2 linked regions of the Neodiprion lecontei genome follow. The protein of the gene in region 2 interacts with the protein of the main gene of each other region in a pairwise test. Links are inferred from orthologs where the notes say so. Each region holds a gene or a part of one and is shown on either strand. Other genes may lie near its edges.

The links.
Region 1: the proteins of abl interactor 2 (region 2) and membrane-associated protein Hem interact in a two-hybrid assay, tested with the Drosophila melanogaster proteins (2 studies listed by BioGRID). The link is inferred for Neodiprion lecontei from reciprocal best matches to the Drosophila melanogaster genes Abi and Hem.

Annotation. Positions count from the first base shown.
Region 1 is NC_060262.1:26,028,100-26,032,028, forward strand, and holds the start of membrane-associated protein Hem, read right to left. Parts: upstream 3,106-3,929; 5' UTR 3,008-3,105; exon of another isoform or gene 2,932-3,007; intron 2,864-2,931; exon of another isoform or gene 2,853-2,863; 5' UTR 2,691-2,852; coding exon 1-2,690. UniProt on the Drosophila melanogaster protein: Plays a role during growth of the oocyte.
Region 2 is NC_060263.1:285,364-289,292, reverse strand, and holds the start of abl interactor 2, read right to left. Parts: upstream 2,903-3,929; 5' UTR 2,755-2,902; coding exon 2,742-2,754; exon of another isoform or gene 2,725-2,741; intron 2,698-2,724; exon of another isoform or gene 2,562-2,697; intron 2,013-2,561; coding exon 1,344-2,012; intron 1,222-1,343; coding exon 886-1,221; intron 300-885; coding exon 42-299; intron 1-41. Other genes in the region: TELO2-interacting protein 2, read left to right, coding at 3,188-3,760.

The sequences.
Region 1 (3,929 bases), on a different chromosome or scaffold from region 2:
TGTAGCCTTTTGAATTGTTCCTTCATCACTTCAGGCTTATCAAAATTCGTTCTCAATGCAACTAAGACGTCCTTATTACCAGCTACTAATTTTTTCAGTTCTTGCACCTGACTCGCGATGTGCCACATCAGTGTTTCATTCAACATTTTCATACCGTAAGGTCCAATCAGTTCGGCAAGAGCCCTGAGTTCGTTGATATCAGAAAATTCCTCAGCGTTGAAGGGAATCGCACTCTCGGCTGTGAGGCTGACGAATGCTCTTTGATTTCCTGAATAGCAAATGTTTCCTGCGCTTACTCGTCTCAACAACACTTCGGAGTACCACTGCATGTACAACGAAGCTATAGTTTTGTCCCCGTGGCTATCGAGCTGTTGAGTTTGTTGCAACAAAGCATTATTAAAAACTCTAGTTATATCGATGTGAACGTAGTTTTCGACAGTTTGCAATACATTCATGTAAGCTCTAACGCTGACAAATAACTCTGATGGTTTAGCAATGACGCTAGTATCCGGATTGAACATCACCATACCAACTAAAGCTTTGGCGAATCGTGTTTCCAAGTGTTGATGTAAGTACTCCCTAGGAGCAAATGTATATTCCCACACATTGATGGTGGGGCAAGAATTTATTGCGAAACACAATTCTGTTAGAGCCATGTGAAGTTTGTCCATTGTCGTAAGGTCTTCTCGCGTTTTTCTGTAGCTTTCAATACCGGGTTTATGAATCTCGTACATATTTTTCTTGTTCTTATCTTTTTTCTTGCGATTCACTACTTGAGATATTTGCGCTGCACAGTGCTTAGGCAGAAGCTTATCTGACATTGTACACTGCTCGTCGCAAATTATGGTTATTATATTTTTAGCCTCTTTGGCCATTTCGTCCAAAAACATGTTAACAACAGACAGACTTCTTTCTCTGATATGATGACGTTCTTCGGGGCAAAGTTCATGCGTACAGCTTTGAAAATGGCTACACATCAATGGAAAAGCAACAATGTATCGATTCTGGGCAGGAAATTCTAAACACATGTGAAATTGATCTTCGAATATCTTGCTGTAAAAGCAAAATATCGAGAGATCGGAAGTTTCCACCAACATCTCGTCTAAATTGTCAACCATTTTGGTGTGAAAAATAATACCGTCCATAAACGAAGCCAATTCCCTGTTATCCGCGAGATTCATATTGCACTTTGCAACCGACATATAAGCCTGCAATCTAAACCAGTCAAGCCTGAATGCACGAAAATCAAACAACTCGTTATCCTCGACCTGTTTTACTGTTAAACTCGCAATTGAAGAGCACATGTCGCTCAGAATGGCTCCTTCATCCTCAGGACACACAGGCAAATTTTGTATCATTTGATGCAGAGCTGGTGCGTCAAATCCAGCCAAAAATTGGACGTAATATCGTTGCAGGACTTGGGAATACTTTCTAACAAGAGCGCGCAATTCCTCGCAGTGAAACAAGAGTTCAGGGAGCTGCCTGTCGACGAGGTCATCGCCTCCACGACCCTTTCCTTTTCCCTGAATAGGTGGATTGTCACCGTGTCTCAAGAGCCACAGCACCTCGTCTCGGGCATGAGATAATCCCATGAACACTAGCAGAGCTTTTGGGCCCAAGAGCCCTGGATGATCGGATAATATCAGCCCCAACTCCTTCAGGGCTGTTCTCAAAAATTTTCGCCTTTCTCGATGCCTGTGTCCAGCTTTCTGAATGGCTTGACTGTAGCAGTCCTTCACTTCAGATACTCTCTTGCTGTACCCTTTCATGCTTTCAAAAAACGACTGAATGTATTGGTGAATATATATGACTTCGTCTCTAAACAGAGCTAAAACCCATCCTGATTCGAGGGCGGTGGTCCATAGTTTACTGGGTTGCTCCTGGTTGAGGACCGTGTGACAAAGAGTGAAACCGAGGACAACCCATCTTTCTAATCTATCTAAGCTCAACGTTTCACAGGACATCGTGTCCGTAACGGCAGCTTTAAGCAGCTGCCCTGGACTACCGACGAGGCTAAGTTTCTTGTCGGCTCTCCATGTGTCTGCCGATAAATTTCTTCCAGGGTAAATTGGCCACAGCGACATCAGCGCATTTATCAGTAATTTACCATGCGGCACAAACTCTTCGGACAATTTCTTGAGCGGCGCATCGTAGTCCATGATCATCTGGCCTAGTCTCGGAAAGCTGGGATCTGACTGGCTGTGGACCATTTCGTGGGCCGCGTTGAACAGGCCTAAGACAGCTTTTCGATCCTCAACTCTGGACAGAAGTATCATCAGGCTTACGTAGGTGATTACCAGGTCCAGGTAGCCCTTTGTCACGTCAAAATTTATCGTTATGTCCATGTGAACTCCGCAAGCGTCCATCGTAGTCAGCAGTTCACAGACGTTGTCCTTGAAGTCAAGAAGGTCAACAAAGGTGTAGTAGTAGAGGGACAGAGACTTGATAATCTCGGTGCGAAGGTTCGTTATCGCAGCCAGTCCCTTGATGTCGATATTGGGAAATCTTCGGATTATGTATTTAATCGCAGACTCCAACGTTTTGTCGGACAGAAACGCAGGCTTGGATTTGGCATCGCCGCATGCTTTTTTTATGTTGTAAATACGAGTAAGCATACCGGTGCCTCTGTCGTTCAATATAGCCAGTTTCTCAGCCAGCTTCTGCTGGCTAGGAATAATTGGTCGCGCCATATTCGTGGCCTGCTTGTCAATGAACGGCGGTGAATCAGTAGAATCGCCTCATAATTTATTGAACCAAGTGTCAACTGTGTTTCCGGATGACAGGAGACCCCACCCAGGGGTAGCTTGTAGGCTTGACAGGATTTCCAACGTAATTTCGGCGCACAGCGATTTCTGAAATATAACTGATCGATTATACTAACTCGAGTGAGCTTTTTTGACGGTTGTACAACGAAGTGAAATGTTTTCTTACCAAATTTATCATTTCATTGCAACATTGTCACAAAATTATTAACACCCACTACACATCGATGTGTAAACTTACTCACCACTTTAAGTTATCAGTCCTTAAACTCAGCTGCGGCGCTCTCTTGTTCACTGCATCCAACTGCTGTGTGGGGAAATATTCCTCACTAGGTTCCTCAATCTCGCGCAGGCAGTCGGTATGAATCGCTTTTACCAACCGAGAGAAGGGGCAAACCATATGACCATACCGAATACGTTAATGAGAGTATTTTGAAGACAAAATCCATCACGCGTCAAAAAGTGCACAGTGCAATTCCATATTACGGCGTATCACAGAGTATTGTTATGTAACTGTGGATATGCTACATCTTTACGTATTTTTCCGCCTTATGAACTCGCAGTGAAATAGTATCCGCCTGAGCATAGGCAATTCACATTACTTCCATAAGTTCGCAATCAGAAGTTTGTCTTGTAACTGGATTCGAGTCCATGCGTTCTCAACAAAGCTTGTAATTATTAATTGTTTACTTTCGCACACAAATATTGAGCGGGTTTAAGTTTCCATTGTACACATAGCACTACTGTTGTTCACTGACTCGTTTCTAACTGGTCTTTAAAGCTTGGTCGATGTGGTCAGTTGTCTGTACACAAGAGGATCTTCTATCCCGTTGTTCCGCCACGCCGCACGCTGGCTTTAAGATTTCAGTAGCTGGTGTGAAAAAAGTGAATAATATTTTATGACAATAATAAAAAAAAAAATCAAAAATTCACCAGAATGTTCATACCAAAACGTGATTGAAATACTCGGACATAAAATAGAAACGAATCGAGGAAAGGGTTTTTAGGAATCACAAGAACATCCGTTGAAAAATCTTATTGGCATTGTTATGTACAAAAATTAGATGAATGAATCTTTATACAAAGATGTGAAGAATGAAAAGCTTGAGAAAAAAATATACGCACTCCATTGAGGTGAAATTATTTTTGCTATTTCCCTAAATGAAT
Region 2 (3,929 bases):
ACTGATTAACGTAACTGAGTATTCGGTTTTATAATTTATACCTTTCTCAATATAGTTCTTTGGTACCCATCCAGGTAAGTCTTCCTCATCTGGCACAATCGGCATAATAGCACCAGATGGTTGCTGTGGTCTTCCAAATTGAGAATGTTCGTCGTGTTCAGGGGGTGGCGGTGGAGGCAATGGAGGGCTGCTTGCTCCACTGCTGCGGCTAACTTGATGAGATAGTCGATGCGGCAGAGTATGGTGACCACTGTAATTAGTCATTTCACCCCCAGAGCCAACTAGCGGCGAGGGAGGTGCTGTAAGATAAAAAAAAACATGATATGCAGATCATCTGCAAGTTAATCTGCATTTAATTATTAAGCAAAATCAGAGAATGTGTGCAGGAAACTATTTTATCACTGTTTCTGTTGTTCTGGCCATACAAGCCAACAGAACTCGCGAAACACAAGCCAGGGAAGGCTGTGACAATACACAACTGACAATTACTATTTTCTGAGAAATCATGCCAAAAATTTTTATCGTATTAATCATTCATTGACAAACAATAGTACATTGTGCATCAAGTAGGTAAAGTGGGTCCATTTACGCTGAGTGTAAGTTTACAATATAAGATGCACACGATACTTTATATACCAAGTATATCGCTTGCGCATAGATTGTTATCATAAAGTACACCAAAATGCACTTTTGAGTACTAGAACATCAAACTGCTTTGTTCTTGTACTTTAAGTTTGGAACGCAGTCAAAAAAAGGCGAGTAAATCATACTTGCATTACATATAGCATAGTTTAGTAGTGACAATACAACATATGGATCAATACCTGACGTTAGAGCTCGAAGTTAAATTATTTAAGTCATTAAGAGAATTATAAACCTACTTACGTGGCATGCTGTTGAGATGTTCTTGGACATAGCCTGCAGCTCCAGTGATACTGGGTGGAGCGGGAGGTGGAGTTTGCGGATGGCTTTGAAGTGGATGAACAGTTCCAACTTGGGGAGGTAGAGTGTGTTGAGTAAGAGTAGCAGTATGAGCTGTATGCTGAAGCCCATGAGAGGGATGCGGGGTGGTATGAGCGTGGAGTGGCAATGTACTATAACCGGGTCCTCGTTCCCGTCTAGGATGACCTAAGGGGTAATTGGGTGCATAGTGACTGGGAACTTGGGGTGGAGCCACTGCGGGTGGTGTTCTGTACTCACGGGAGCCCTTACTCAGTGTTCCTGAAAACAATAAGTGCCAATAGAAAGTTGATCAAAAATATTTAGAAAATATTTTGAATTCTAAAACTATTTGGTTTAGCTATTCAATGGCTACATCTCTGTTATTAAAACGAACTGATTACCTGTTCGGACTGTTTGTGGTGGAGTTGGTGGCTTCGTAGTAGGTGCTGGACCCACAATGACTGCACCTAAACCAGAACCAGTCGAAGCGGCACCGAGACTTTGTACACTGCCCTGGCTCCCCCCACGCTGTTTGCTTCTAGGAGTACCTCCGCTTCGTACACCATGACCAATCTCATCCAAGATGGTGTAATCAATGCTTTTCCTTACATATTTTATAGGTTTTTCAGGATTTGCCGGTGCAATAATCTTATACTGTCTCGTGGTCATTTTGTTCGCAGTAAGAACACCTATTTCCCTTCTGGCAACCTTTTCCTTGTGAATCATAACTGTCTGAGCAATGTGGTTCATCTGACTTTCCATTTCCGCAAGTTGCGAAGTCTGTAGATCCAACAACTGCAGAAAGTTATAAGCCAGCGTGTTTATTTGATATGCAACACTGGCAAGTGACTGAGTTGTGTAATTTTTAGTTTCTTCAAGAGCTAGCCGTTTGTTCTCGGCTTGGAAATAATTTGCCTCGCAATACTCTGCTACTCGCTCCAAATTTGTGTGACTATCGGCCAGGTGGCTTCTCCCATCGGGGATTTCATGGCGCAAAAGTGCCGCTAATTCTGCCATTACTTCAGAATCGCTTCCCACTCCTGAAGACACACGATACGAGTCTGAACTGCCTGCAATAAATTAAAAAATCAGTCAGTGTTGATCGCCTATTTTTCTATTAAAAAATAATGAGTATATTTGGATGCACATACAGGGTTGCCAAAAAAAAAAGGAACCGTAACTCTTTGATAGGCTCAGAATTTCTGATAACTTCGCATCGCAACAAACTATATAAGACCAATACTATTCTTAACCCTTAGTTAGATTTGTTGCTAGTTAATTATTAATTGAGAAGGTTAAGCCTGTTTCTCTAATTAATTACAAAACATTTGTAAGATAGGCAAAGCATAGCTGTGTGACAATTTCAGGTCTGCAAAAAGATTCAATTCTTAATGAATAATTGCAATTACTGTGAAGAGAGGATGCGAGTAAACTGTAGTTATTGATAACAAGTGATAGGTAAATGGGAAAGAATGTTTATTATTGCTGTTTTGAACATGCGAGAATTTTTTAGGAGCAAGTGAATTCAACAATACAGAGACAATCTCTCGGCCTAAAACGAATATTGATAGGTGATGAATATTAATTAGGAAGAGAATGGTGTCGAAAATGGTGCTTACGAATAGAGTCGCGGTCAAACAGGGTGAAGTGAGCAATTACAAGATACGTGTCAGTGTGGTTACAATCAAGATGGGCGTGACAATGCGTGTGCCTCACGTCAAAAGCAAACGACAGCGCGGATACTGTGGAACTGACGTAGGAAAAAGTAGCTAAGAAAAATATTTAGAAAATAAACTAACGGTACTCAGCCATTATCAACAAACAGCTACTACTGCTGGTTGCATTAATTCATATTTACCGATATTCTCAATCAATATATTAACCAGAGAGTATTATCAAAAATCAAATAATCAACCGATGCTCACTATGCAGCACTACCGTAGCGTAGGAACCGAATTTAGTGAATCCCGTTTATAGTCTATGCTCAATGATCCAACATCCGTATTAAGCATGGTCTACGGTCTATGTTCGACCGATCGGCCCTCGAAACATAACTCGAAAATCGAAAATCGGACGATCGCGCCTCGCTGATCGACTCTGTCCCTGCGATATGCGTTGTGCGGGATGGTAGAAAATCTTGAATCAAATTTTAAGGTTAACAGATAGAGGAGCGGTCAAACTCTTTTTTTATAGTCCTCCAGGGCGCTGCCGCAATCTTGTAATTTCTAGGAAACCGATCCGCTCTATGATGAACGACCTGCTCCGTGAATTGGAGTCGATGAAGATAACTGGCAACACATTAAACGACGATTTATGGAGAAGTTGCGTTCAGCTGACCGAGGGCACGTTGGTACCGTGTAAAAAAATTGGAAATGAACGACCCTGCGAAGAAAAGGATTACAGTGAGTACAGGCAGATCGTAAACAGAAATTTGCGGAATGTGGAGGCTACGCTTCGTCACGTAGCAACGACTTTTGGGGAGCAAAACGTCAGGGAAACTGCATCGCGGAGTCACCCCCTTCGCACTTACCTGATAAACTTGATTATCATCATCGGCGAACAGAGCGAGAAGAACGTGTGGAACACCGCAGAGTCGGTGTCCATAGTCAGCTCCATTCAATCTAACCTCTGCGATCTCTGCAAGTGTCGATCCATGTCCGAGCTATTAGTCGGAAAGGGAGGCGAGGGATCTAGTGTGGATGGCAGTGGCGTAATTGAGGCAGTGCTCCTCGTTCTTAGGCCAAAGCTCTTCAAGGATACTTGGAAGAATTATCCTGCGGCTGTAATTTGTTACAAGTGGATATTATGGCAAGTAGAGGTTGGTCAAACCCCTGCACTCATGACTTTTGGTTAGTTATGTGTTGATATCAAAGAATTTCTTTCAGTTTCAAAGTTTGTAACAACAACGTAACAAACATATGAAAATAAAGTCATCTCTGGAAAAACTAAGTATATGGAATAATAGATTGAATGAGCTTCAAGTTTGC